Arabidopsis thaliana: one gene and its partners. The protein of the gene in region 2 interacts with the protein of the main gene of each other region in a pairwise test. Each region holds a gene or a part of one and is shown on either strand. Other genes may lie near its edges. The genes, in order: MYB14, NAC095, MYB32 and HAT22.

Region 1 (8,210 bases), on a different chromosome or scaffold from region 2:
GTTAAGGTTAATCAAAGTTGGTGACACAAACGTAGGCAGATGTAAAAGAGCAGACACATACATAAAGGATAAAACTAAGTGAACTTCTCCCTAACAAAGAGAAAATACTGACTATTCTCCATTTTGGCATTTCATAGTACAACATTTTCACTAGCCTCAACCACCAATATAATAACTTTAGCAGTCTAAACGTTCAAATCTTGCAACTTTGATGGCACTATGATCCATCCTTTTACATGCCTCTCACAAGTAAATGAGATGAAATAACAGTATTGGAGACACTAGAAATAAGATCAATCAGCTTCAACTTCTCTACTGCCCAATATGTAGCCGCCAAGAAAATAAATAACTTAAACGCGGTCCAGGAATGCCATAACAGACACTGGCTACTCATCCTATTAACCTAACGGTACCACAAAACTCAATCTTAAGAGGTTCTCACTAAAAAACTTTCCTGAACGAACTCGAGAAGCTGTCTCTAAACTTCTAAACAGAGCTTAAGTTGTATAAGACCCCTGAATCTCTGAGCTAACCACCAAGAAGCAGAGTTAGCTCACCTTGTCATCCACATCCGTGAAATTTCGAACGTAAGACACTTCATATCCTAGATGCTTAAGGTACCTGCCTAATTCCCAATCAAATTCAAAAGAACAAAATCATAAAAAAATCATAACTTTCCATAAACCCAAGAAGTTTTAAAGCTTATTTCTCCAAGTCGATACCTCAAGAGTACATCGAAAGTGACGTAGACTCGTGCGTGTCCAATGTGACTGAGATCGTAAGCAGTGACACCGCAAACGTACATTCCAACTTTACCTTCGACCTTAGGCTTAAACAGCTCCTTCTTCCGGCTCATCGTGTTGTGCAGCCACAGCTCCTTCCCACCGGAAATTGGTGCTCCACCGTCCGTTAATGATGACAGAGTCGTGAAACAGCGACGTAGTTGAGTTTCTTTTCCGGGTCTGAGGGGAAATTGGATTCTGAATTGAGACTTGGGAAGAGAAGAGAAGCGTATTGGAGTGAAGGGTCTACATGATTTGAAGAGATTAAGGACAGAAGAAGCCATTGGTGTGGAACGATAAGCTCCTTCCGAAGAAGATGATGAAATCTCGGATAGGAAAAAGCGGCGAGTGATTAGCTAAAACCTCTGAACTAATTACGGTTTGTGTAAACCGGTTTTATTTTCCGGTTCGGTTTAATCAAGACTTGTTAGAGGAGCACCATCTTGGTTGTTGACGAAATTTTTTAAAATGTCTAGGTTTTTCAAATAATATATGGGATTGTCTATTAGCCACTAATGGAATATTGAAGGAAAAAAGAATGTTTTAGTGATGATGATATTGGAATTAAAATTAAAATTTAAAGAACCATATTTCGATGTGATATTACGTATGCGTAATCGTTAACTATAATCGTTTAATCTACTCACGTTTTTGTCATTTTGATTTTCTTAAATTTTTAAGTACGACCGGAATGGTGTTATTGATGTTTTCGTAGGAACCATCCATAGGTTTTAATTAAAGGTCTACAAAATATAGTTTAAAAGTCCTTAATATTTTGTAAATAATATCTAGTTGTCTACTACAGGACCTTGGACCTTATATGTTGAAGTTTTGCAAAACATTGATCAACTAGAACAAAAAAAATTATCACAAAAAGTTTAGGGCAAAACCCTAGTGTAGATCAACCAGCTAAAACAAAGTTAAGGAGTGAGGTTGGCTCGGCGATAGTATGTTCTCTAATAAGTTCTTGGGTTTATAATTAGGACAAAAGGAACCATTGTTATATGTTCAAAACGTTTAACAATGGTTCCTTTTGTCCTGATTATAAACCAGGATGAAGTTATTAGTCTTTACACACTTAGGAGTTCATTTTAGATTGAAAACCACAATTCAAGTCGACCCATTTCTAATTTCTTTTTACTTCAGTTAACATTTATTTCTTTAGAAACCAAACTAACCGAAATGGCCCTCTTAAAAGTTTTATTTCTTTCATATTATATACATGTTTGAATCTGGGTGGTAACATGGTAAAGTGATGTTACATGTTCAAACTAACCATTGCTACATGTCTTGATGTTATCTTAAATGATGTTTATTATCAAAATGCATGTAAGATATTCATATTTACATGCAATCTCAAAAGTCTACAAACATAGACAGAGAGGAAGAAAAAGAAAAGGAATTTATTCATTTGGATTACAAAAAGACTTTCAAAGTCTTAACGACAAAAACAACACAAAATCAAAATCAAAATTAAAACTCGGGTATGTCGGAAAATTCCTCAATTCTACGATTACTAGTGAAAACATCAAACCAAAACTCCATGTCATCATTATACAACTTAGAATTACTATAGCTACATTTTTTACTATTTCTATCGATCAATCCTTCCCAATCCTCTATCTTCTTCTCATTCTTATTCGAATTATCTACCGATATGACGTCCGACCAAAAACTATCATCTATCAAGGCAGAAATATCCTCGTACGACATAATATCGTCCTTGTTATCATTTGAAATATCAAATGTTGTAATACTATTAGAAAATTGTTGTAAAGAGGCTGTGTCGACTATCACAGATCCTTTGTCTTCATTTGTGGTCTCGTTAATTCCGTTAACGTCTTTGGTGTCTCCGCCATTGTTTAGATTTTTGCTGAGTCTTTTCTTCAAATGAGTGTGCCAAACATTTTTTATTTCATTGTCGGTTCGTCCCGGCAATTTTGCAGCAATCGCAGACCATCTAAATTAATTAAGAAACAAACAAAAAACAAAACACTTTTTAAAAAAGCGCCCCACGTATAATAGTATTGTATGGATTTCATCAATTTCTTACTTTATATTGCTTTTTAGTTGCTCAAAAACAGAAGAAAACAACAAAAGAAAAGCTTATACATGCCATATGTTTTGCATTGATCAAAGTGCATATCCTTTTTTAATAGTAATATAGAAGATCTTGTTTCTGTTTTTTTTTTAAAGTATATTTGAAAACAAATTAATGAAGTCTTTGGTTTGGTTTGAGACAGAGGAAATCACGGACAGGAATCTCCTTACCACCCCCATGGTGTTAAAATATTTTGCAAATTGTTACATAAATAATCATTTATTAACTTAGACTGGGTAATACTCACTTCTCAGAGAGTCAGTGTAATGCAAAGTGGAAAAAGGAAAAAGGAAGTTGACATTACAAAAAAAAAAAGAAACGTCGACCCTAAAACTGTTTGATTTCTCAATCACTCTTTAGGGGAAAAAAGAAGACAAACCTGTTGCCTAAGCTTTCATGCAGATTGATAATAGTTTGTTCTTCTTGAGGAGTGAAATTGCCACGTTTAATGTCTGGTCTAAGATAATTGATCCAACGAAGTCTGCAACTTTTCCCACATCTAAGTAAACCTAAACAAATTGCACAAAAACACCAACCAAAATTGCTTCATTTTCAAGAATCATTAATAGATAATCAATATACAAAGTAAAATGTAAAAAGGAAACTCACCTGCGTGTTTTGGGAGAGCTCGCCAATTAGAATGACCATAAAGATGAATATAATTGATCAAGATTTGATCTTCTTCAGGAGTCCATGGTCCTCTCTTCACCCCCATTTTCTCACAACATGGTGCTCTTCCCATTCTTTTTTCCGTTGCCCCCTCAAGAAAAAAAACACTCAGAAAAAGAAAAACAAAATGGTCTTCAATTGAGTAAAATGATTAGAAGGACAAGTGTTGAATGGGTATGAAGTTTATGAGAGCTAAAGAAGCCAAATGCTTGAAGGAAGTATGCGATGTCGACGTTTAGTGTGTTATTATATATACACACATATTATTATTATATAATCACAATGCAACCGTGGGACAACTCCAAGTTGAAATTTTCTCATACTAATTTTGATCTACACAGTCCAAAGTTTTTAACCTTTTTCCTTTGAACTTTTTTTTTAGATTCATTAAAAAAAAAACTTTTTTCTAATGTATTTTAATCTGTTTTGATGAGGTCGACGAATACCACTGGAGCCTCGATGTCCTGTAACTCCTGTTGTGTAAAGATTGCCTATAATTCAGGTGCCATTCAGTAGTAAAATATTTAACGGTTAATCAGTTCGACTCAGGCCAAAAGGATTCTCTTTATATATCACCAGATAGGGTCCAAAACTTTCTATTTCGGGATATTTGCAATATTTTTGAGATGCAACACGCAACCAGGGAAACGAGTGTGTGATGAGAAGCAAAACGCAAACATCACTCTACTTATGCAATTATTGCCCTGAATTATCATGTTCTAGGGACGCTAGTTTCACTAAGCATATGAGTCACATGATTCATATGAAAGATCGACATATGGTCGACCTGTGTACCCACTTCAAAAGTTAATGACCCGATATCTAAATCTATTATTGAAAACCACTGTTATACAAGCTATTATTGAAAACCACTGGTATACAAGCCATGATCCGTTTACTTGATTGGTTATGACAAATCTTAATTACTATTAAATATATCTATCATATATGTTTCATATTCTTTTTGGAACAACTTTATTGGATAAGTTGGTTTTGATATGTAGTCTTTTTTTTTTTTTTTTTTTTTTGGACGACTGGTTTTGATATGTAGTCTAAATGTTTAATATGGTGTGTTTGTATTTCACAAGCTTGCTCCATTCTAGTTTACCCGGACTCCCGCTCGGAGCCTCGGATTACGGAGTTATATAAAAAAGATATTAAGCAAAAAATGCTCCAATATAAATAATAAGAAATTAGGAAATAAAATAATATAAAACATTATGAGAGGAAAGAAAGGTTCAAATTATATATGCATAAAAATGTCAAAGAAAGAGGCTCATAGTGCTCAATTCCGATCAAATCATGGGCCAAAAATAATCAAACTTTTAATCTCAATCAAGCTTGTTGGGTGACCTATAAGTCAATAAGAAACATTAAAAGTTTCATATTTTTCTATGCGCATATTAAACACTTACACTATTTTCTTTCTTAATGTATATAATACCGTTACGATTAATTAAAAAATAGGTATGTAGAGCCAAAACAATTGTGGTGTCAAGAGGGAAAATCATAGACATCGAAGTAGGTACGGTACGTACGTAAAGGGGTTCCTCTTTTCTAATATGATTCAGAGAATCAGAGGTCATATTGTTAACAAAAAATTTTTATGAAATGATTTATTAGCTAGAATATGATTTGATGACTCCACTTTTTGGTCATTGTTTTCCCGCTTTCTTTTAATGTTAAATATGACTTGATACTACATCTGAATTGTTTTGGTCATATGAATCTTTAATTTCGAAAGAGTATTTATAATTTTACTTTGTAAATACAAATTTAAATTTATTAAATTACCGGTGAGTTAGTAATTAAAATAAAATAGACAACCAGATTATTTTGAAACACGTCAATTATTCATAGTGTCATACCGTAAAAAAAAAACAGAAATGTCTTTCTTACGGTATATGTCATTACGTAAGATAATTACAACCATGAGATCGTAAAATGTATGAAATTGTCGTCAATTGATATTTAGTGATATGGTTCTTGGCTTCTTTCAATTGCACACCTTCACTCACCATTACAACATTTACTTTTGAGTTAAACTATTCGTTTGTCTCTGTCAAAAGCAACTTTTGTATACTGTTTCAAATTAAACGTATTTAGACCAAGATTACAACGTTTTAAAAAGAATAGACTAAAACAAAACGAAGATCGTCGATATCTAATTCCATCATTACCAAGATCTTGCCCTTTTTCACAATTTTTTTTTTCTCTTTCCGTTTTCTTTTTGGGGTTTCATTTTCTAATACAACGAGGGTTATCTTCTCTTACAACACTACTCCAATATAATTGTGGAGTTCCCATGTTTTTAATGCAAGTGTTTTGTTTGATAATTGATAAATTCAAATGGATCGTGACCTAACGAAATCTAGATATTTGTGGGTCCATTCAACTACTAACTTTGTCGCTTCTTTTTGTAATTTTCCAAGGGTCGGCTGATTTGCATTATTGATTATACATGCATGTCAAAAGTAAAGAAGCCTTAAACATTTCACTAGTTAATATTTAAAAAGGTGTTACTTATCTTCTTCAATCAGATCCAACTAGCTATCCCTAAAATAAAATGTCTCAACTAAATTTTGAAATCTGTATAAGAATAACAAAGTAAACATTTTCATCACTTAACAAATTGCTAAATAATCATGAAAGGTTGAAATGTTAATTTTAATACATTAATGACATTTTTATTTTCTGTAGTTTTTTTTATTTATTAACAACATGCATAATGATAATTTGAAATTAAGTTTGGTCTAAGTCTAACCAAACCTGAAACACAACTTAACCAACAAAATCTTTTACCTCCTCTCATGCTCTATCAGAATCTTACTAGTTATGTGTCCAGTAGGCAGTAGCATTGGCTAACCCTCGTATAAGGTAGTTCTGATAATTGCATTTATCAAATATTATATGTAACAACATGCAACAAAAGTGATATATTTGGGACATTTTCACTGATCAAAATATCCCAAAATGAAGACTAAGGAAGGGTCCAGGTCTAAGGAAAAATAGAGCCCGTACACAAGATTTGACCAAGAGAACTATTTTAACTTTAAATAAATATATATATATATATATATCCATAAAAAGCATTAATCAGATTCCATTTTGATTGATATATATGATAAAATATGTAAACTTACAATGGCAAAACAAAAGTACAAACGAGGACAAGAACCGTACCTTCAAACTTTTGTTTCACCTAACAATCTCACTCTAATCTAATCCATCTAAGTCTTCAAAGTACTAGATTGTGGATTCATGATCTGGATAAAGACTTCTTACGCCTACAAATTCGTGTTTATACTTGAAACAATAAAAAATTACAATAGCAAAATTACTCGAAACTCGGGAGCTACCAAGCAAATCTTGTCCCCGTGCCATCGAGAAATCTATCAGTATACCATCCTTTAGCTTGCACTTGAGATAAAAATGGATTGAAGACATCGTTCATTTTGTCATACGCGTCTTGCAATATAATGTCATCAGGGTCATTATATATCTTTGTCATTGACTTGACATATGCTGCAACTAACCACCCTCGCAATGCATCTTCACCGGTTGCATCGTGCTCTAAGACCATATCGGTCCATGACTTTCCATGACTCAATAGAAACTTCTCTTCTACAAACACTTGTTTTAGTCTTTGTACCTCAGAAGGCTTCACAGCTTTATGGAGAGCCCTTCCCACTTTTACATTTCCTGCGTCTTGGATTGGTCTCTCGGGGAACATTAGGTCTTCTTGGAATCTTAAATCAGGAGGGCTTGGGACTTTACCAGTCTGAGAAGATACAACAACACCTCTTATGTAATTAAAAGAAATCAACAAGATGGTTTACAGAAAAATTGAACAAAAGATGATGCTAATTACCTTGAGAAAATTAGCCACAATCAAAGCGGTTCGCTGTGGATTCAGTGTGTTGATTGGTACCCCTCGCATTTGTTCTACAACGCTATACACATGTACAACCGAAAGAATTGACCCAACCACCAACTGCAGATATCAGCCTTTTCATAATAGAGTTGCAATCCAAACAAATAGAAACTGCATTTTGAAATAGAGAGTAACGATGTAGCAGAATGACATTACCTTTCCCTCCATTGATGAACATATTGTGGACGCAAGTTGAATACCAGCACCTATCCCGGCAACATTGAAAAGAGTAGAGATAGCTTCTCCTTTTGCAAAAATGTCACTAAGATTTCCTTCTTTGGCAAAAGATGAATATATTGGTAATCTTGTTGCCCTTGCTGCAACTGTAGCCATTCCCTATTTAAAACAAACAATGCCAGAAAAGTATGAAAAACAGGAAACCAGTGAAGCTGATTGATGTATAAAAGGATGGTCTTTAGAAAGCTAATATATCTCATAGGTCTCCTATTGAAGCTGCTGAGGAAAGCAGGCACAGATGTTCTAAGAAAGATATCTATACCTTAGCAAAATTCCCCAGACCAGCCATTTCAAGAAACAGATGCGGGCATAATGGAGAAACGAGTTCCAGACCAGTACCAAGATCGTAAAGCACGTCAGCTGAAAATTATGAATCAATACTTTTTATAGTTAACGCTATAAAGACATCAGCAGAAACATGTAGCTACAGAATGGTGCATACCCAGAATCCTCCACCGTTTAGGCTCAGAGTCCATTCTTGCACCCA
Region 2 (7,423 bases):
GAATCGCCAATGCAGTTCTCATACAGTTGACTAACTGAGAGTTCTCAAGACATGAAATGTTAAATCTGACATAAAAATCAAGAAAAGAACATACTGTTGCTGATCCTGCAGGTGAAGGGCGTTGAAACGAGAGATCTGTGTCATCCATCTATACAGAAATGGCAGTACATGAGCTTACTTTTTAACGAATAAATTTGTTCTTTCCCAATTCAGGTTCAATTTAAAATCCAAATTACCTTCATCGATCCATGAGGTGTAGATATAACTTCTACTCTCTGCTCACTTGTTATGTAGTCAAAACTGAGTTCTCCATCTCTATTAACAAGTCGGTCATCATCATCATTATCCTCACTACAATCCATTTCGTTCCCGGGATCAGAGAGCACACAGTCGATGTGTTGTCTATCTGCAGCAATTCTGACGTGTTGCTCTACTGCCTCAAGCGATTTCAGACCAGCAAAGAACATATGCATCTATGCAAAAATAAGAAAGTATAAGCGACATTGATTGAGAAATTGCAGGAAGGTTTCTTACATAGAATAGTAATTTTATTCAGAAGGTACCTGAGCAGTGTGGTGGCGGGCTGCTTGTGTGAGGAGACTTCGAGCTTGCCCTTCCTTGAGAGATTTCAATCGGAAAATGCACAGAGTCGCCTCATCTTGTAGCTCATCGCGAGCAGTCTCTAGCTGACGGCGAATAAGTCTCTCCCCTTTAGTGCCTTTAACTTGTACCTTGTCTTTCACATGCTCCATTAGCATGTGCTTAACAACGTCTCTGTAAGTAAGAGTCAGAGGTTAAGGCAAGATTTTATCAAATCAAAACCGAGAGAATAAAAAACTACATTGCAGAAAGTCACTGACCTCTTTTCTTCACATTGTTGCTTCATATCCTGAGAGGAAAAGAAAAGGAAATACGACAAAATCAGCGGTCTTTATTAAGGTTGTGCTTTTTTGTTCACTTTAGCTTTAAATCTTGCTCAAACCGTGAACTTTTCCGGCTTTTAAATAATCTCTGACTGTAAAAGACCAAAGCTAGGGCATACCTCAACAGTTCTAAGGTCACTGAGAAGTGACTCTGAAGGTCGTGTAATGGTCTTGAATATTTGAGAACGCTGAAGGAGAAAAAAAAGAATGAAACAAGAACTACCTCAGTTTTGTTCATAATTATACATATTGCTTCATGAAAAGTACAAAGTTGCAACATACAACTTACATAAGTGTCGACGAGTTTCTTAAGCTCAAACTGAACTTTACCTAACATTAGAAGAATTCCACCTGCAGAAGAAACAATGTTACAGCATGGAAACAGGACAAACAAACGTCCATGATAGCTAAATACCCAAAATCTTACCACTTTCTTGATCATTATGAGGCGCGATTTGCTCCAAGCATGAGCCCATTTCCCCCAATGATTCAGAGAACTCTGATTATACCGAACAAAAGAAAAAAAAAAAATGATGAGGTCTGACAATATACTGATGTTCTTATATGAATCAACAAAGGTTTCTCACAAGGTTAAGAAAGTACTTAATGGGAAATTCTAGAGACACTAAAAATGAAGATTTCGCAAAATGATAATATTATCGAAGACCTCCGCTAGAAACAATATGAATGAAAGCTAATTCAATCCAATAAAGCTCGGGTATAGCAAGCCCCATCTTATATGAAGCAACCGTACACTTTACAGTCACAATGTTTGACAACATCAACCTTCCAAATTCATACATGAAGCTATAGAAGTGGAGATTCATAAAGGTTGAATGCTTATTTACCATATGCGCTATTAGCCATAGCAGCAGCTACTTCGAGTAATCTATCATAACCCTCTCTCATATCTTGCATATCCTGAAAACAATTGAGTAATAAGCTTAGGTCATAAAATGTATCTTCCAGTTCTAGTTCAACCAATCAACAACTAGCATCAGTTACAATATCAATTTCTTACCATAACTGATATAAATACCAATTCCAAATTTCTCCATAAGATAAGTCTATAAAAGTAGAAATTAATGAACAAACTTCTATAACTGTAAAAGTCCTGAAATTTCCAATTAGGGTGTGATTTTTGATCGGAAATTTTTATCCACAAAAACTCATCCAAGTTACAATCTTGTGATCAATAACTCACGATTTTGAAAAGAAAAAAAAAACTAAATCTCAGAGAATCATGAGAGAAGATCAGTGAAAAGAGGGAAAATTTACCTTGGCGGCTCGAGCAAGACCTTCAATTTGTGCAGTGGGAAAAAGCTCTCCTATATCAATCGCATCGGCTTTGGGTAATGCGAATCTTCTTAACCTTCCAAACGAAGCTTTCATCATATCTCCAGATAGAACTAAACAAAACCCTAATCACGAAGAAATTCCTCTAAGATTAATCGGCGCTTCGATGGTTTGCGAGTCGAAAACAGAGAGACGAAAGAGTGAGATATTTTGTCAAGTATCGTGGGATGTGTTCAACGACATTGAAGGAAGAAGAAGAAGCTAAAAAGTTTGAAGCTTTTGTTTTTCTGGTCAAAGAAACAGATCGAAGAAACAGCAGAAAGACGGAGGAGGAGAAAATGAGATAATCTCACGCGTGTAAGATGAACGGTTCAGATGAGAGGTTTGACACGTGGTGAAATCTCGAAAAGAGATGTTGAGAGGGAAAAAGTCAAAAAGTCAAAGATTTATGACAAAGGCGGAAAAAAGGTTTTTAGGTGTTTGACCGGAAGTTTTTAAGCTGGTCAAACATCTCTTTCTCTTTTTCATTAAGGCTTTTGAACAATTTGATTTTTGGACATATCAATATATCATATTATATAACATATATCATCTATCTTCTTCTATATATTATGACCCTCCTAACAATTATTGGAATAGAGAGATCGATTGATTATTACTACGACTCATATCAATAGTTTTCTTTAGGTGTAGGAGCGCAATTTAGCAAGGTAGGCGGACAATTGCTAACATGAGCCATTAGATGAGGGATGATCTCTTTGTTCTGGAACTTTTGTATCAGCGAGCAAGTGAGTCTCTCGAGCCACATAACCTAATCGATATATTGTGGAAAGAAAAAGAAAAAAAACCTAACCGATATATTGAAGTGAAATAAGCATCTTTAAAACAATAGGTATGCAACTAGAGGTAATAAAGATTTGGACGTTGACAGGTTTTGAGAGAATCTACAATCCACCAACACTAACAGTAAAACACTATATCATGAAGAAGCTAAGGTGTAGCAGGAGGTGGAGGAAGAACAGTTCCATCTTTCTCTTTAACACTATCCAAACTCTCTGCAGGCTTATCAACACTTTCATCTTCTTCTTCTTCTTCGGATTCGGATTCAGATTCGACTATATGCAAATTACCAAATTCAGGTTTAACCTTCTCGTAAAAGATATGACACAGAGTCCAATCAGTATCCACAACTGTCAATGGGAGGCTGATTTCATCCAAGAACCAATTGCATTGTGGAGGTTCTTCTTCATCGCCGTTCTTGTTATCAGATTCTTCTTCTTCTTCGTTCTCAATGAAAGTAAACGAATGCTTGATACCGACTAATTCGCCGCCATTCTTCTTTGGATCTAACACATCAGTTTTTTCTCCCGTTGGTATCCAGAGGTTATAAGATTTCGTTCTAGTAACTTGATTCTTGGGTTTCTTGCAGTAGAAGTACCAATGCTCTTCGCTTCCATAGCCTGAAAGAACAGAGCAAAAACAAGTTCACAAAATAAAGCTTGTCACGCAAGAAAGAAGTAGCCAAAGTTAAATCAAGAAACTCAAAAACTCTATCAAATCTGTTTTGTCAAAAGGATCGGAGAAAGTATTCTCACCAGGCAAGTCGCGAGGATGTGTTGAGAAGATATCATTACATTCGTCGGGCACAGTAAGAGCTTTCATGGGAAGTCCTAAAGCTTTCTTGATCAAAAAGTAAACAGCCAACTCCAAATCTGAAGGACGAAACCTCATACCTACTGGCAAAGCTCTGTATGTTGGGCCCATTATTCTCAGAACAAAAGAAGAGAAAAAGAAAACAGAAAGAGATGAAGAAAAAGAGTTCGTCGTCCAATGAATAAGCTCCAAGCTGCCTATATATTAGTAAGTTGTTACGAAGAAGTAGGGATTTTGTGACTGAGATAAACGCGAGCGAATCAAGTATTTATATAGCAACCTCTGTTTCCTAATCCTAATAGGACTAGGAAAACCTTTTTAGAAAAGGAATTGAATAGATAATATCACGCCACGCATGCATGAGCTTTAGTTAGTAAATAAGGGGAAAGTTACATTTTAATGTTATGATATTTGACTTTTTTTTTTACATCAATTAATGGAATATTTTTTTTCATATCGTGATTTTGTTATAATTATCATTGATTACAATGATACTGAAAAAAATGGAAGATAACATCTCGAAAATAAGTAATTAAACATATTTGGCAAAAACGAAAAGTACTTTTGATATTTAGGGTTTATCAAAAAAAAAAAAGTACTTCCTTTGATATATAATAGAAACTTATAGACCGAAATCCATATTTTTTTCAGTTGTCCTAAATTATTTCTAATTATTTTTTATAATTATATTTACATTATTTTGCTCAAAGCTTCCATATTATAAATAAACTGAACTTTGTGATTAGATAATTTTGAATTTCTATTCAAAGTAATATCAGAATTATAGTGAGCAAATTAAAATTTGAGTGTACTATAGCTATATCAATTAATACTTGGTTTTTGTTTTGGACAAAAACAATCAATACTTGATATAAACCGTATAAAGAAAATTGGATTCCAGTGTTGAGAGGTAGATATAATTGTAGTAGAAAACGTTTAAATCAAAGCATGTATGGAAACAAAACTCATATAAGAACAGTTACTTGAATAGATCAGAAATTTTAATTTAGAGACGTGAATCAGTTTCTAATTTTAGATTATTATATCAAAGAGAATTTATGTTGTGGCTATTGGAATTGGATTCTTGAATTTGATACTGAAGAGAAAAATAAAAACGAATGTCTTTTGTTTTCTTCATAGTTAAGGCAGAAGAGGGAGAGAGCATGAGTTGTAGTTTGATTGGAACTTCAAGCATCCTTTTAAAGGTTGGAACAAAGACAAATACTTCAAAATTCTATTGGGAATTAAGAATAATCTTGACTCAAAATATATTTCAACAAAACATATGTTAAGGCTAATTCTTTAGTCGCTAATCAATCCGCGACACGTAAATAGTGAATAATATCGACAAAACACCGTCTTCGAACTATCAATATGCAGCGGACTTTAGCACTCGTGCGGTCGTGCCTACAGACTCGTTTGTTTTGTGGTTTTTACTTGCAAACTTTCAAAAATTGAAATATGTGAAACTAATATCTTATGTCCATACTTAAGACTTCTGAAAATACATATCTCACTCCATTATAAAGCTTGACCTCTCACAAGAGATAAGCTGTATGTTTGAAGTCAATCTTCTTGCGGATAAGAAAAGCTTTACTAAGAAAAACACCTTCTCGCTTACAAACTACGTATCCCGTCATATCACTCTGACTCTATACCGAAAGCACATTACAATTGGTCACCTAGTGATATAACTAAGCTTATATAAAAGATAATCCATAACACAACCTTAAAACCATTTTTTTGCCCTAAAATGAGAGTTTCAAAGTCTAGATCCATCTTGGGCTTAGCTTGTTTTGGGTGACATATCTTAAAAGCTTATATAAAAGATAATCACGTATATATTTTCTAAATTTTTCGATTAATTAAAAAATAGCTGATTTTCTTTTGAGAAAGTTAATCCTTGTAAAAAGAAATAAATTTATAATTATTTACAATTCCAACTATTGGGTAATACACCCAGAATAATAATTAAATCAATAAGAAAATCAAACCCTAAAAAGAAACTTGGGATAAAAGAAAACGAAAAAACAGAGATATCAATGTTGTATCAACTGAGAGAGAAGCTTGAGAAGAAAAGAAATCTCCTTCTGTGAAAACTCAGGTCTTGTAATGGCAACATCATCATCCTTGGAAGGTGATGGTAATGGTGATGATGATGGTGGTGGTCTTATCATCATGCGTGTCGTGGACTCTATAATCTCCTCAACAAAATCTACAATCACTCCATCGATCCCCATCACATATTGCATGTACACTGCCTCTCCGACATTGCTGCAACACAATATTTGAAATAAGATTAAAATCTGATTAATCAGTGATCGGATCCAACAGCAATAAGGAAACAAACTTAAGGTCTTTAGACTTTATTAAGAAAAGTGAAGAAGGTTTACTTGAGTTTGCCGTATGTGAGGAGAGAGAGGTTAGATTCTTTGATCTTGCTAATGGCTGCTGGGTTCCTGAACACTCCTTTTACCTCTGAAACAATACCTTGAAGACCTCCTTCCAAGCAAACTTGAATGGCTTCTTCGAGCGAGTTTCTTCTCTCGTCATTGTGAATCTCGTTTCCCGCATCAGTCAGAAAGAAAACCTGGGTTCAGTTCATATGACATTGTTAAATCTTAAGTGATTTCTCCATGAAGAAGTCAAGAAGTTTTTTTTGGTATTTATCAAAGAAAAGAGCGAGAATGGAACATACAGGGTAAGTGCTCTGCAGTTCCCTAACAAGCTTAGCTGCATCTGGTTGGAAACTTGAGAAGATTACTGGTCTGTCTTTAGCATAATTAGAGACCACCTGTAGTTTTGTCACAGAATGGAAAAAACAGAAAATAATAAGTTAACAAGTCTCAATCAATCTAGATCCAACTTGGACCAGCAGTTTTAGGTCAACAGCATTGATACAAAAAGGTCTCAAGAGATCAAATTAATTGTGAGCACTTTTAACAAATGGTTCTATTGGACCCTAATAAATATTCATACTCCAACAAGAAAAAGAAGGAAGAATACGGAACTAGTATTGAGCATACCTGTAGTACTGATCTCAGGATATGGACAAGAAACTCTCGTTCATAGACGGTCTGATCATCAAATTTCAACTCGATATTGAACCCAAGAGTTTGTTCAACTTGTTCAAAAGCTTCTTGCAACGTACAAAGAGAATCATCCAAATCAACGTCCCATTTCAAAACCTTCCCTTCTTTAGATTTCCTCATCAGTGTCTTCCCTATTTTCTCAGTTTCCTTCTGAGGTCCATAAAGGAGAAACTCAGACAGACTCAGATCCGTCACTCTACTCTCATTAACAATACCCTGAACCATAACACACAAACACCAGATCCATGAAGACAAGATCCAGAAATATAAAACCAAGATCTATGAAGAAAGCAATGTAGACTTACATTTTCTTCAGAGTAGATGAAATCATCATGGAAAATGACAGGGCAATCATCTTTTGTCACCTACAAAAGAAAAACCACACAAAGCTTGGAATGCTTCTCTATGTGCCATCTCTCTCTCTTTCTTCAAATCTTCATGTTCTTATTTTTCATTTCA
Region 3 (8,193 bases), on a different chromosome or scaffold from region 2:
ACAACCAATCCTTTGGCTACGCGTGGACTGCTTCCTCTATCGCAGATTACTATTTTACCCCTCACTTGCTTCGGATCAAGCGTGTTCTCCATACATAGAGACGCTGATGACATTCCCGATTTACCGGGATAAACCACCGGAAACATACGACCGTTTAAAGGTACTCCAGCGTAAAGAGACACTCCTCTGAGACGATGTCCGTCGCCGAGAATAGCATCCGCTGGGAAATTCCGATCGATTGTACTAGCACCAACGGTGGTTACCCACGGCGCGAGGTTCGTAACTGACATACCGTTAGGTCCTTCGTTTCCGGCAGAGGAAGAGACGAAGATTCCTTTCGACGCGGCGCCGTACGAGCCTATAGCGATTGGATCGAGGTAATACGGCGAAGTAATCCCGTCTCCACCACCGATTGAGATCGATATAACGTCGACACCGTCTCTAACAGCGGCATCAAAGGCGGCGAGAATATCGGAATCGAGACAACCGGAATCTTTCCAACAGACTTTGTAGGCGGCGATACGAGCTTTTGGAGCAACACCTTTGGCTACACCGGAGGCGTAACCGGACATACTCGCTTTAAAAGCGTGACGGCCAGCGGCGGTTGAGGAAGTGTGAGTACCGTGTCCATCGGCGTCACGAGGAGATAGAAACTCAACGGTTTTGTTGATTCCTCCGATTACAGCGGCTTGTTGTCCCTTAGCGAAGAATCTTGCTCCGATAATTTTACGGTTACAGTTCCGAGGACTGAATCTGGCTCCGGATTCGCAAACGCCTCTCCACCTTTTTGGAATTGGACCGAGGTTAAGATCTGAGAAACTCCTCCGCTCCGGCCAAATTCCGGTGTCAAAAACGCCAATGATTACGTCTGATCCGTAATCAGATTCTGACCATAGTCCTTTTTGGTTTTGTAAACCAAGAAATTGAGGAGAACGTGTGGTGTGAAGCTCTCGACGTCGGTCTTCGAAAACAGCAAGAACTGCTGGGTGGTTACGGAGATTATCTGCTTCATCTGGAGTAACAACGGCGGAGAAACCATGGAAGACTGTGTGGTAAACATGGACGATTCGAGATTCTTCGGCGAACTCGGTGCTATACCAATGGTAGTGCGTCGGGAAAATAGAAGGCATAGATCCACCATCGATACGGAAAATGAAAGTCTTCGCGGCCTGAGAAGCTGCGAAAGAGATAAACGGAAAAGAGAGGAAGAGAAGAAGAACGATGGTGGAGGAAGCCATTGAAGGAGTGGAGCGAGTGAAGTGAGTGGGGGGAGTTTTACCGACATGACATTGGTGCTCTCATAATTATAAAGGAAAATATCATTCTTTACTTCTTTTTTTCATTTTTGATTAATAACTTTTATAATTGTTAGTTTACTCAGATAAATCATCAACTTTGGATATTTCTTCTGCGAAAATATTCCTAGTACTATGTCGCTTGTATGATTCTGGGCAATAATATAGTTGTCTGATTAACACAAGTGAGAGAAAACAATTTTGATAAATTTCATTTGTTTGTAAGATAACGGAAATTTCATTAGCGAATGAGATAGGTGGTCTTTGTGGTCGTGGACAGTGATATTAATGAAACGACAGCGTTTTACGGAGATACTGCAAGAATGAGTCATCGCTTTGTAGGATTCAATGTATTTTATTCATTTTTATACAATTTTGGTTAGAGAAAAGTAAACATCGGAACTGCGGAAGTTACCTTTCATCACCAGGAAAAGTGTGATCGTTCACATGCAAGTGAGATCATCATAACTATATAATACGATCCATTCATAACGGTCGATTAGTTTCTCTTAAAACAATCAACACCCTCTAATCGTAAACTCATCACATCCTCTGTTTACTATTAACATGTTGATTTTGTCAACACAATTACTAGTAATCAAAAACTAATCATATAGTAGATTAGTAGGCTTTTTAAGTATTAGTAGGCTTTTTGTTTATCTCTTTTATGGTGGAGGAGCGGAGAGTTGAGCAGAGAATCTGAGTCACTGCAATTGGACAATAAAAGCGACGGAACAGAGACTTTTAGTGATTCTCAATATTACTATATTCGTCCATTATATGAGCTTACAACGGCTATAATTTCAACTTCTGATGAAAATACTATTTTATGTTTCTCAGAGATTAGGATAATATAGGTTTTACACAGATGGGCATGCCACCAACCCAGTCGCATATCCCAATGTTGAAAAGCCCATTTGATGCATTGGGCTACTCATACTAGGCCATTTATTTTGATAGGCTGAATTTATTGTTTTGGACTTCAACCAAGTTTTGTATATCATGCAGAAGTCAACTTGTATGATTTGTTTTATTCGTTTTGAGTTCTAGCTTACTTACATCATTCTGATTTGCGGTTCAAATCTATTTGAATTAATTTGATAGTCAGTAAAAGCTTACAGGTAGTTTGTGTCGATTTATGGTGTGTTTACTGTTTAGTAGGCGTCACCAAAATTTAAGTACAAACTATACATTGAAAGCTAATTCGGACTGTTTACAGAATTCCTCTCCATATTTTGTTGCTCATATAGGTTATCCTAATCTTGAGTTTACATTTTGCACTTTATTATATATGAAAATATCCATCAAGTAGGTCAAAGCAATATAACTCATATATCTATTTTGATATCGTTCAATCTTTGATATATGTCTCAATATACATTTCTTGAAATTTCGTATCTTTAACACTATCACATGTAGAAGAACCTAATTATGCCCACTAGCCTGATACTAAACTAAACTCCAAAGTTTTAGGTTGATGTCCGTTGTTTTACATAAACAAACATTTGGAAAAAACCAAACCACACTAGTTAAGTTCTTATATGTATATATTTGTATAGTTTTGGAAATAAGGTGAGTGACTTTTGTTTAATATAGTGAACAACACATTAATGTGATAAAGACATTTTACCAACACAGTGAATGCTTTGAATTAGTACTAAAAATAATCAAACGAAATATGCCAAAAGGTTGCAATGAATAGAAAACATGTACACTTTCAATCGTTCTCACGCTTCTCATCCTTACACAGCTTATCCACTTCATTGATATGTCCAATCTCTTGGGAATAACCATCGACATACATTTGTCAAACATTGGTTGGATTATCGAGTAAAATTCTAGAAATATACCAAGGATCGAATTTGAATGCATATGTCTTGTCAGCAAAGCATTACACCCATGCGACACTTACAAATGGCGAACATTTTCGCATCTTTTTAGTAGATTATCAAATATGACGACAGATCCTAACAACTATGATATGAATAAAATTACTAGTTATTAGAAAAGTTGAGAACCATGAACGAGTCTGTTAATAGCTTTTATATCACAATTCACAGCTATAAATTGATTAATATAGTATTTCATTTCATTTCATTTCCAAAGTGCTAAAATCCAAAACCCTAGTGTTGTTTAGACCCAAGAAGTCATAACCAATGCTACTACTAATGTCGGTTGAAGAATAACTGCTGCTACTACTGTCCTCTGTTTGACATTTCACATTATTACAGCTACACTCCTTGCCGTTCCCGAATCCAAAACGGCACGCACTGCACCTATACTTCACTCTCCCAAACCTTAGGTTCCTCTCATCATGGAGCTTGTCTTGCCATGGTGGACTGATCCTAAGCTCAAGATTCAAGTCCAGACATCTTTCTTCAACAACTGAGTACTCAACTCTCTTTTGAATTCTCTCGTCCCCGAAATTTGCTATTTTCTCCAGCTGAGGACCAAAAGAGAGAATCTTGACAAGAGGGTCCTCTGTTTTACTAGAATCAGACGAATCTTGAGAAGTTTTGGTCTCGTTGATAGGTCGATGAGTCGCCGGATCAATCCCTTTTCTTAATAGCTTCCTCTTAACATGTGTGTTCCAGTAATTCTTAATCTCGTTATCTGTTCTTCCTGGTAATCTCGTCGCAATAAGAGACCACCTGATAGAAGAAAAAAAAAACAGAGTTTAAAAAACAGAGCTTTTTAACATAACAGAGGATAGTAAAAAAAACAGAGGAGTTGTTTTGTGACTCACTTGTTACCGAGAAGGCTATGTAGTTTGATGATGAGATCATCTTCTTCGAGGGTGAAGTTACCCCTCTTGAGATCAGGTCGGAGATAGTTAATCCATCGGAGACGACAGCTTTTTCCGCAACGTTGAAGACCGGCGGATCTAGGAAGAGAACGCCAACAACCTTCACCGTGAGCTTTGATGTAAGAGATGAGCTTATCGTCTTCTTCCTTAGTCCAAGCTCCTTTGTTTGTGTGGTCTTTCTCACAGCAAGGAGACCTTCCCATCTTTCTTCTTCTGATTCTTGTGATGAAGAAATTAGGGCTTTATGGAGAGACGGTTTGAGAAAGAGAGAGAGAGAGAGAGGTTGGAAGAGGAAGGTGAAGCCTAATTTGTTTCTAGAAGAGAGTTGGTAAGACACGTTTGAAGGAGTGGCTAGTGGGCTCCGTTCTCTTTTTTCTTTTTAATCTAAGATTAAATTGTGTTTTTGTTTGTTTGTATCAAAACTAGAAACTGCAACATTCACACGATCGTGTTCGCAGTTTCAATGAGAAAACGCTATATGGCTTTTATGGTTTTTTCAAACCTGAGTCTAGTTGTCTACTTATTTACTTATTAGCCTAGTTGTAGGTGTGAAACCATAATTATGAATGGCGACATGCGTTTTGTTGGTGATTTTAGCAATAGAAACTGTGATCAATATTTCACATTTCCTAAAGAAACTTTTCAAACTTTACCAAATTTAATCATATTATATTTAAGTAGTTAGATAGGTGAAAATTTGGTTCATCTTGTTTTTTTCTATATTTTAGTTTCATTAATAACGTAAGAAAAAAAAAATCATCGAGTTTGTTCGATATGATTTTATATCGCAAATAATAAATTTGTTTGAGCTAGGGTTGTAAAAACAAAAGTAGAGGATATATTTACATTAAAGTAAATAGTTATAAGGATTTTGTTTTTGGACAAAGTTGGATGGTTTCGTACTGCAACGAATTTAATTCAAATTATGGACATTTATGTTACAATGGAAAATAGTATATATTTGCCATAGTGAGTTTGGTAAGGAGGTTGTAAAGGGCATCCAAATGACCAAATTAAGTATATTCAAATCAGTATAAAGATAAATTCGTTAGAATTTCTAAAGAAAAAAGGAGAACATGTTAGTTTGATAATTTTTTTGGTTAATCAAAAGTTTGGAGGATTAATCTAGAAGACACAAACAAGGTTGGTTTTGAGGGAAAGTTAATTTCATTTTTGGGTACGGTTTGGTGTAGATTTGGCTGCAATATGGGGAGTGGTTCGTGACCTTCCACTTTATCCTACTTCCTTTAAGAAGTGTTAAAACATATCTCAACAAATCGTTTCGTATATATAAGAACTATTCAGATAATGTATCAACCGTTTAAATTTTAATATCCATTTTCTCTTCACCAAAGTAGTGAGATATAGCATTATATAAGTAAAACCTACATCCTATACTAATATTTAGCTACGCGCTATATGATAATTACTTGTGAGTAATTAACACAAAATCAGGAGTTCCTACAATCGGTGAAACCTCACGTGGAGTTTGTAATGTAATGAAAATGGAGAGTGCATTTCTACCTGCTTTCTCCTTCTTCCATTAATGATTTGCCCTAACACGTGACCTTTTTACTTTCTCAACTACCATTTTACCAATCTCTTAATTAATTCCTTATCTTCTTTTCCATCAATTCAAGGTTTCTTATTTATCGTAACGACCAACTAATTCTTAGAAAAAAATCATAGTTTCTTGAGAAACGCTTTTCGTAAGCTAGCTTATCATTTGAATTGATATCTATGAATTTATCCGACGTATCTATGTTCTTGACAAGTTACAAAGACCATGGCCTACAAAATATTCAAGAATTTTGCTGTCATCACGAGCTAATTAAGCTAATATCAGTATATATGAAAATACGACGACTCTAAGAAAAACATTCGTGAAATGCTTTTGTAAATAGGTAAGGGGATATTTTGAAATAAGTATCGATAAAAACATATCGAATAATGATTGTGGTTTTTATTCTTGTTTGGAGTTCTTTATTTGGAAAAGGGAAAAAGCTTTATTGGTGAAAGTTTGTTTGATACCTGAAAGACAATCTTAAAAGAGTTTGGTAGATTTCATGGTGTACATTTACTCTGAACTCCTACCGACATATTTGTATATTTAATAACGAAGAAAATAGAAATGGGATAGAATTGACATGTGATTTGTTATCTACACACACACCAAACAAATCTTAAAAAAATAGGTACATTATACGACTTTTAGAATGTATACAAAGTGCAACATGTAACATATATTTCCTAATTATTAAAAATGTATGGTTTATTTATTTAAACTACTTACAAGTTACAAAACCTTCGTTCTTGCCAAATTTAGAAGACATGCGTTTCTTTCTTTTAGTTTCTTATATAAGTTATTGTTAGGTGATTTCACATTCTGTTAAAATACAGTACACTTCTTTTACGTAACAACAATTCTTTTATGTCAACTTGAATAAAGCTATTTGCTACTTTGCGTCCATTACATGTCATCCCGAGCCTATATTTAGGTAACTGGCAACCAACATCATATATTATCTTCTTTAATGAAAATACGAAAGCAAAAAAAAATTTAATTTTAATTTCTTAGTAGAAGTTTCCTACCTAACTAAACCTACCACTACCAGGTTAGGTCAAGTTTCAGGTTATGTCCCCACTTTGGTAGATATCGACCGATCTTTGTTTCTTTCTTTTTTCTTTTTCTTTGGTACTAATTAATAAGTGAAACGAACATTGCAATGAACAAATATCGCAAAAATGAATCACGGACCCAAAATATTGACTTTTTAACTTTTTTACTACTAAACAGTAGAATCGTGGATTCAAAGAGTTTAGAATCTTGTAGCAGCAAAATAGATTCGATAGACGATTAATAGTTTCTTTAATACCCAAATAAGAGCATCGTTGCTTCGTGTTTTACTTCCTATTTCGTTTACTTCATCCTCTTCCGGATCTCGTAAAAGTAACCAAATGCCACAACCGCAGCAGCAACTGCAACCCCGAACGCACTCTGTGCCAGAATCGTGCTGTCTGCAACTGCTTTGCCTGCTGAGGAGTTTGGGTTGAAACCAAGCTCAGAGAGTTTCTTGTGCGATTCCGCGTAGTCTCTGAAGAATGCATCTTCATCCTGCCACCACAAACTGAACTTGTCAACACATAACAACACTTTCTTATCTTATTGAAACTTAATTAAGCAAGGAAATCATAAAGAACCATAGGAATTTCTGTTTACGGTTCTAACAAAAAGCTAATATTACAGTTCTCACTGATAGTAGTAAGAGTGTTCATTTTATCATTTTGCAACATCAGCAACTATAAAGGCGATAAGGATCCGTGGGGTTCTCTAGAACAAAACCCTAGATAATTTGGTTTGTGATTCAGTGTGTGTGCTTGTGGATTCAGTGAAAATGTGAAACCAATAAAGGAAATCGAGTTATGTTCCAATGGTTATTATAGCAACGCAAGAAACAAATGGCAAAGAGGCAGAGAAGATCTCCAGTATATTATACCTTTGCATAAAGCTCAACAAGACGACGGAACTCCGGGTCTTCCAATAAGGTCTTGTCAGTTGGAAGTTTCAACAAGCCCTCTGATTCTCCTTTCAGCAGTTCCCTGGTACCAAAACAGTAAATAATCATGGATAACCGATCATGTAAAAAAGTATCTGTTTGCTGCTTTTATTTCTTGGAGACACAAACAGAAAAGATTAAAAAAATGCACAAAGAAAATCTCTGAGGATAAAGAAATGAAAATTACACGAAGTAGGAGTTGTCAAACTTCAGCGGCTCTTGGGTCCATGGTCCATCAAAGCCTGACCTCTCCGGGTGAGCCCTTCCCTAAACACCCAATGTGGTCATAAGCACAACAAGCATATTTGTTCAAAAACAACGGAAGTTAAGTAAGTGACCAATGAATTTACCAGAGTATGACCCCCTGAGAGTGCCACAATATCCTTATCAGATAGTCCCATGCGGTAGAAGACATCTCTGAGATGTTGGAAACCTACAGAGATATAAACAATGTGAATTCATAGAAAAAATCTTCCAATTCCAAAACAAGATTATCAGTAGAAAACATGAAAAGTTTGTTATAATTGATACAAGA
Region 4 (8,095 bases), on a different chromosome or scaffold from region 2:
GTATATTATAAACTAAAAAGTCGGGAACAAGAATTCGACAAACCGACAATTTAACCAGCAACTGACACATGTCTTTTGCCGTTCTTAATACACTAATTACGTACGTTCGTGCACACGTAAAGCAAATCTATCAATCATTAAAAGAAACAACCCAAATAATTAGTCACCTACATAAGTAAAAATAATATTAACCTATGACTAATCTTAATATACACTCATATTCATAATAAAATACATATCGTCTTCATATACATTAATTATTTCCATACCGACTTCGGGCGATGTAAATATGTAATACGTTTGACGTTTCATCATAATCTTTCCCGCCTATTATATATTTTTTTATATTCGCTTGATTGAGCCAATTTTCTTGTCAAAATGACCATGTGTATTTCAAAAGTGAATACTACTAATCCTCTAAGTTTGACTTAGTCAATGCTTATTAAAATAATATTTTTTGTTAATCCAATTATGAACCTTCACTCGCACTATGCATGTAATTGTAGACGAGCACATATGTGGAATAAAAAAATGCGCATTATTAATTAGAATATTTTTTGGGATATCAAAAAAAGTTACCTCACACAATTGAATCGACAGCAAAACTGAAGGCAAATAAATAAACCTCGATAAGCAAGAAAATTGATTGAAAATATTTATGTATACTCCCAAATGTTTATGAAAATCTTCTTAAAGAAGACATGAAAAAAAAGAGTAGAGATATAGCATATACATATTATATAGCTTTCACTGTCTTTAGTTTTTTTTTTATATATAATTATGATATCCAGGCGAGGAAGGGAGAGGGATTCATTTACTGGATTATATCTTGATTATTTCCGTTTACATTTAGTTTTCTATATTGCATTTTGATTTCTAGATGGTGAAAAAAAGAAGATATTTTTATCCTCATTTCTGTTCAATTTGTACTGGTCATATATAAATCATGATGAAAATTAAAAAATATTTTTTTTTCTTTTTTTTTTCTTAACGTTGAGATAAATATTATTGAAGAAAAATAAATTTCTCTTTCTATTTGTTTACTCTTTATATATTTTCTACTCATTTACTCTAATACTATATCAGTCACACCCTTAAGTCCTGATTTAGCATTATGGGATAAAACTATATTTGGATCTTATAATATAAACAAATTTGAACGAAAAAAATAGAAAGAGAGAAAAATGAGAAAAGGAGACACTACAAGGGAATGATTCCGTGAAATTAGAATGGAGATTTTGAGAAAGTCACCGATTTCTCCGGAAAGTCATCTCATCATTAAATGGTCCACCACCATAATTTCAGGGTCACCGATCTTATGATTTTCTTGTGGACTCTCTCGTCATCTCATCCATCCCCCATCATCACGCATGCATTACATTCTATATCAAAATTTATCTTCCTTTTGTTTTATAAAGGCTTAAATTTCTATTTTTATTATATGTTCTCGAACCAAATTACTTTTAACACCCTAATTCACATACATATTATTACTTTAGATAAAAACATGCAAACATATTACTCGTGCCTCGTGAAGATCAAATCTCAACGAGATCTTCGAGACCTCGACGTCCTTTAACACAACCTAGAAAATCAATGATTTTATTAAATGTTAGTCGCGATCAATATCAGCTTTTATTGATTAGATGTACTACTACATACGACAATTAATTATAAAATTAAACGGTTCAGGTAAAAAAGTAACAAAAACTTAATTTTAAAAATAAAATAAAAATCAAAATCAAATTTTACTCATATCTTGTGCATGTACGTGTTGAAACTGGAAGATTCATGAATTATACTTGTGTTCGTGAATCACGTAAATTTTTTTTTTTTTTTTTTTGCGTGAATCACGTAATTACTTATGAATATTTTTTTTGGTAAAATACTTATGAATATTTCTCGCTGTCATTTTCATAAATATGTTAACTAATACGTCTCGTTGTCATGTATTCATTAAAAAACATGAATATACGTGTATAGCAAATATGGGTATAACATGAAGAAGAGTCATATAATTAATCCCACACATCTATAACATGGTCGTGAGAAGAAAAATGAAGAGAAAATCACGTGAAGCATGTCCCACCTTACCTCTTAAAGATGGAGCATCTCACTGCTTCAAATCTTCAAGAACTTTTATTATTATTTTATTTTTAAAATTTTATTTCCATTTATAGATTTTTTCGCAAACGTATCTTTATTAAATAGAGGTCTTTTCTTTGCAATTAAGCATTGTAATAAGATGATGATATTTTTTTTTTTATTATTGTTGTTATTATGGATAATATTTGACTACATATGTGAACACGTTTTTGCATGGTGCGTATTGGTTCTTCTAATTTGTCAGTGTTATATAGTTTAAAGATTTATTATAATTTTTTTTGTTAAATTGTTTTTACTATAACTTTATTATAATTATTGGTTGGATAAATTTAAAAGGTTTTAAGGAGATGTATCAATACACGTGAGCTAACCTCTTAGCCCCACACCCTTTATCTCTCTCCCTTAAAATCATTCACACCCATCAAATGATTTTTCAGTTTTTTTCTTTTCTTTTCTTTTGGATAATAAAAAATATAATTATTATATCTGGAGCCAAAACAAATAAATGTATATATGTCATATGACTGATGAGTCAGAAAAAAAACACTAATAAAATGTGAATTTTGAATAAATATATTTTGATGTATTGATATAGATTGGTTTGGCTTACCGTCTCATCTTTTATTTTTTTCATACCTTTACCTTCGTGAAGTTTTAGGATTCTCCATCTATTTAGTTATACTAGTTATAAGTGTTTTATTTATCGGTGGCAAATTATTTCAATCAATTTTATTTCCATTTTTGGGTTTGACGGTTGAAATCAAAACCAAGTTGGCACCAGTGTCTCATTAAGATGAACGATTAGTAAAGAATAATAGAGACTTGGCTAATTAAAGAAACTCTGAAATTATAAAATCGTAGTGGATACTTTACAAATATATACACGAATCCTCCTGTTAAGAATCAATCTAAGAATCTTTAAAATACGGAAGAGTGTTTGGTTGTTTATGTTTGTAAAGTGTGAACTCAAATTAGAACCCATATTTAAATATCATTTAACAGTATAAATCAATATTATACTCACATGAATGAACAATCATTTGTTAAGGATACGTCGTCAGACGTGATATAAACTTGTACAAAATTTATCAAATAATATATTTATTATTTTTACAAGCAAATTTATATTACCGTAATACATATTCGAAGGAAAAAAAAACAAGATAATACATATTCGTCATTTTTTCTCTACATATTTAAACCTGTAATTACAAACTATTTTTTTTTCTTCATCAACCAACAATCCCACCGAAAAATAAAGTGGAATCGTTGAAGAGTCTTATCTATAAAGACTATACCCCATTTCCCCCCAATTTCAACGTAATATTTTTTCCCTGGGATTTATCTTCTAACTAATTCCTAATTTGATTTAAGAAACAAAAAAAAAACCAACAAAAAGAAATTAAATAACTAATAAGTAACTAACATGCTGCAGAAGGATTAGTGAAAGGGTTATAGAAACGAGGCTTTGTGACGATGGAGAAAGCTCCTTTCGCCGTTTCTTCATCAACCGCCGTCGTATCTCCTCCGACACCACCACCGCCGAGTCTCTCACAAGAAGGGCACATAGTCAAAGTCGCCGCCGGCATGTGCATGTAAAACGGTTGAGACAATTTTAAAGCCTTAAGGTCTTGAAGCTCTTTTTGAAGCCTTCTATTCTCATCCGTTAAAGTCTCGCAACATTTCTTCAAAAACTCACAATCCACTTCTGTTTGCTTTAGTTTTGTTCTGTTCAAATTAAAATTTAATTAAAAAATATTTTTATGAACCAAAATAAAGAAAGAAAAGTATGATATTAAAATTCACAAAAGTAATCAATTATATTTACCTAGCTCTCCTGTTTTGGAACCACACTTCAACTTGTCTAGGCCTTAGATTCAGCTGTCTCGCAAGAGCTTGTTTTTGCTTCTGTAAATTCATAGAAAAAATAATTAACGATATGATTAACGTAAATAAGAAGAGACTGATTAGTTTAATTAAGGAAATAATTAACTATATCATACGGGATTAAGGGTGCTATGAAGTTTGAAGTTATCTTCGAGAAGAGCAGATTGTTGTTTAGTGAGTCTAAGCTTTTTACGAGCACTAACACCTTCTTCATCGTCATGATCATCACTCACTCTCGAACACACCACTCTCTCCGTCGTCTCCTCCGCCTCTTCTTCTCCATCGCCGCCGGAGATTTCTCTTTCTCTCTTTACCCTTCCGCTCGAGAAAGATGAGATGCCGCTGTGGGACGAGGTCTGCCGGCAAATTTGGTCGCCGGCGCCGGCACCAGTCTTGATCTTGTAGCTCTCACCGGATAGGCTTAGAGTCAACGACGGATCGAGCCTGATGAAACGATGGTCCACAGTGGAGGAAGATTTCTTGATGGCATGATTGTAATTATTAGGCGTTGGTGAGAGGCCTAAACCAAGAACAAGACCTGTGTTGCATGAATCATCAAGACCCATTTGAATTTTCTCTTCGTATTAATATAATCTTTAAGATCTTGAGAATTAATATTATGAAGAAAATTGTTTGTTAAGAATTTCTTCTGGTGAAGTTTGGAAGATTATGGGACGAAATGAAACCAAGATGGCTTCTTCTTAAGAAGGGGAAGAGAGTTTTTATTTTGTCTTTTTAATTTTTATTTTTAATTTTTGATGGGTGGGTGGGTGGGTGGCTAATAATTAGAATTAATCAAGGAATGTATTTATTTTGCTTACTTTTTTATATGGAATTTTCGAAAAAAAGAATGTGGAAAATTATGATAGCACAATTCTCTCTCCTTTGTATTTTCTTACTTACAAAGGTTGACCAAATGCGCACCCCACTTGCAACTATTATTCCCACTTCATAAATTTTCAGTATGTTTATTCATAGTATACAAATTTATACTCTGAGAATATAATTTTTATGACGTGGTATGAAAATTAAATTAGTTTTAAAAACCCAAAAAAAAAAAAAAAACGGTTCAACGCAATTTTTTTTTGGGTGTAATAGATTTTAGTCTCTCCAAAACTTTCGATTAGACTTTTAAACTCCTATATCCGAATTGATGGTTTGCATTTCCTGATAAACTTACTTCTATCTTTTACCATTTATACATTGCTTTACATGTTTGTTTCAATTTGTTAATCGGGATATATATCCACAAATTCAATTCAAGTCAACAATACAATTACTAGCACATGACGAAACGATTCTATATCCTCCCATGCCCACATTCAAAGATCCAATGTTCTGTGATTGATATTTTAAAATATTTACTCGAGTACAGATATTCTTGTAATATACCACTGAAGCGTTAAATATAACTAACAGAACTGAAGACTTCCTTAAAATAAATTAGATTATAATCAAATGATACATTTAACTTATCTAAGTAGGAGTATCATAATAAGTTGTCAATAGAGAGTAATTAAGAGGCAACTTTAATTAAATAAGAGACCACATGAATTGTCTCCCACTCCATGCTTTGCTTGAAGAAGGTAGATATGGGTAACATGTCAGCTTGCCTACCAATCTTCAACTTCCTCACACTACACATTGGGTTTTTAATTAATTTCTTCTAATTTCTTTTTATATTCCCCTTTCTTGTATTATTATTTAGGGTTTCGGATTGTGATCTCCACTTTCTTGTTTTAGGTTCGGTTCTCTTGATCTGGCCAGATTGTGTTGGGACTTATTTATCCAATGATTTCTATCTATTTATTTCCACCGCATTCTAGTTTTGATAATACTATGCTTTTATTGATTACTAGTAGCATATATGTAGAAAATGCATAAATATCATTACTCGAATTTAAACAATTCATTACAGGACGTAACAAATTATCGTTACATTTTCTGTTTTTATCGTCTCTGCTCTTACAGTACAAAGTGTCTTTTTATAGAATTAGCTAGAAAAATATTGGAACTTTTTTTACTAACAGCACCTCGTTTAGATAAATATTTAATTAATTGAAACAGTAAAATGGCGGAATAGTTCAACATTAAGTTTCATTATTCTGTATCAAATATTGTGAATGGCCTGAATTAGAAACGGGTGGGAGAAGAAGATTGGTAATCATGGTGGTGGTGGAATGTGATTCGTCAAACAGAAATAATATTGTTGAGGGACTTAACTTGAAAGTCGACGTGGGACGTTTTATTGGTTTTAGCCATACATATTTTGTTTTTTTTGGCACTTTCTATTTTCCAACCAAGTTAGGTTACCCATATTGTACAAATTAATATATAAGCGTGGCCTCGAAGGAGAAGTGGAGAAAGTACTCACAATCCGATTAAAATACTAGCTTATTTGGATTACTTTGGTTTGCAATTTTTTTTTCTTCTGATTTGTTTTAAATTAGGTTTTTTATTTATTTATTTAAGAAACAATTGCAAACCAAAAAAAAAAAATGTGAACTACATGCATATGTAAAGCATTTTATTTATATAATCAATTAGAACATCATGATTTTTATAAAATATGGTAGTGTGAAAATCAAAAGTTTAACGTGTACATTGTTAGCCATTTTGGTCACTTGTAACAGCTAGAATAGTCGGGGCGTCAGAAGTTACAAATGAAGTTATTTAAATTCGCCTTTTGATCATTTTGCTGGTGTCTTTTGACTAAAAAGATTGCAATCGCCATTACCAAAATCTTCCTGACTTTATTTAAAGAGTCAATTTTGTTGTTTGGAACAAAAATTATTGAAACTTTAGAATATATATAGTTCTGAGAATGTTGAAGATATAGATATTTGATTCCAACTAACGAGAACTTTTAACCATTTGGACAAGCTGCAATTCATTTAAAGAGAGGGATGCATGAAAACAATTTGAATTGCATACAAAGAATACGTATTATTATACTATAAATTATTAGTATAAAAATAATTTTGTATCTCAGAGCATTGGTCCCCGACGGCCAGACCAGTCTCCTAAGAGGAAAGGTGAGGCAAACTCATGAACACGACGACACATGTATTTATTAACTACATGTATTATTTAATAATTACATAGTCCTAGTGTTGTATTTAAAACTCGAGGTGTCAAGATTAGAAAAATCATGACATGATTAAATCATATTTTTTCAACAAAGACCCAATATCTAAATATTTCAAAGTTAGAACGAGAAGACAAATTAGTAATTGTATTGACCCGATAATTTATTTAATTTAGTCATTTAGGCGATCTTCCTGTAACTAGACGTCGTCATGATTAGTTTTGTTTCTGTCTTATTTATTGTTATCGAATTTAATATGTTATCACATTTTGTCTTATGGAGCGTGTGTTCTATGACGCATGATCATATCAAAATAATCGCATTACATGACAAAATATAGAACGTAGAAAAGAGGTCAGATTCAAAGACCAAATTTTACTAGGATCTTCTTAATTATTATCTTATAGTATGAAAGATAACGATGATGAATAATAAGCTTCGTGCGATTACCAGAATCATTTCTGAATAAACGACTTCTTAAATTATTTGTTTCTATTGTATACTACTTAATTTTTTTTTTACGAAATGGTCAGAACAATTTTGTTATCTTTTAATGATTTAATCAGACAAATGATGTTTGTAAACTGTCACATATACTTATTATTTTACATGTTTGCTAATATGCATAATGATAGATGAAATGTTATACATACACTAATACACATGGAGTATATATTATGAAGAGTTTTTTTTTTAATATGTCGGCAATAAGTCATTAATAACACGATTTTAAATAATGACAGGAATATCGATAAATATTGACTTCTTGAAAAGGTAGGGGAAAAATTAAAACCAATTAAAAATGTGTGAAAAAGAGGGGAAGAATAAAGACAAAAGGCAAAAAGATGTCGTATTATAAAACAGAGTATTAATACATACAAAATAATAATGAAATAACGGTGTGACCCCAACTCGCAAGACCTTTTTAGATGGTTTAGATGATTGGAAGACGATTAAAAAATTAGGTTTAAGACTAATCAAACCCAAACGATAACTACAAAATATCCACAACCA

The links.
Region 1: the proteins of NAC095 (region 2) and MYB14 interact in a two-hybrid assay, tested with the Arabidopsis thaliana proteins (one large-scale study listed by BioGRID).
Region 3: the proteins of NAC095 (region 2) and MYB32 interact in a two-hybrid assay, tested with the Arabidopsis thaliana proteins (one large-scale study listed by BioGRID).
Region 4: the proteins of NAC095 (region 2) and HAT22 interact in a two-hybrid assay, tested with the Arabidopsis thaliana proteins (one large-scale study listed by BioGRID).

The regions. Positions count from the first base shown.
Region 1 is NC_003071.7:13,284,551-13,292,760, forward strand, and holds MYB14 (myb domain protein 14), read right to left. Parts: upstream 3,831-8,210; 5' UTR 3,626-3,830; coding exon 3,493-3,625; intron 3,393-3,492; coding exon 3,263-3,392; intron 2,743-3,262; coding exon 2,256-2,742; 3' UTR 2,131-2,255; downstream 1-2,130. Other genes in the region: SYCO ARATH (Cysteinyl-tRNA synthetase, class Ia family protein), read right to left, coding at 558-621, 723-1,066; RUS2 (root UVB sensitive protein (Protein of unknown function, DUF647)), read right to left, coding at 6,908-7,333, 7,424-7,546, 7,643-7,822, 7,986-8,083, 8,166-8,210.
Region 2 is NC_003076.8:16,442,324-16,449,746, reverse strand, and holds NAC095 (NAC domain containing protein 95), read right to left. Parts: upstream 4,093-7,423; 5' UTR 3,984-4,092; coding exon 3,815-3,983; intron 3,680-3,814; coding exon 3,210-3,679; 3' UTR 3,074-3,209; downstream 1-3,073. Other genes in the region: AT5G41100 (hydroxyproline-rich glycoprotein family protein), read right to left, coding at 95-148, 237-473, 564-774, 861-889, 1,043-1,111, 1,213-1,274, 1,351-1,422, 1,772-1,844 and 1 more; GDPD2 (PLC-like phosphodiesterases superfamily protein), read right to left, coding at 5,912-6,146, 6,266-6,462, 6,571-6,666, 6,899-7,180, 7,270-7,329.
Region 3 is NC_003075.7:16,657,986-16,666,178, forward strand, and holds MYB32 (myb domain protein 32), read right to left. Parts: upstream 4,565-8,193; 5' UTR 4,305-4,564; coding exon 4,042-4,304; intron 3,947-4,041; coding exon 3,385-3,946; 3' UTR 3,116-3,384; downstream 1-3,115. Other genes in the region: SLP2 (subtilisin-like serine protease 2), read right to left, coding at 1-1,238; APX3 (ascorbate peroxidase 3), read right to left, coding at 7,022-7,216, 7,599-7,701, 7,846-7,925, 8,009-8,091.
Region 4 is NC_003075.7:17,764,705-17,772,799, reverse strand, and holds HAT22 (Homeobox-leucine zipper protein family), read right to left. Parts: upstream 4,759-8,095; 5' UTR 4,560-4,758; coding exon 4,110-4,559; intron 4,015-4,109; coding exon 3,935-4,014; intron 3,835-3,934; coding exon 3,528-3,834; 3' UTR 3,124-3,527; downstream 1-3,123.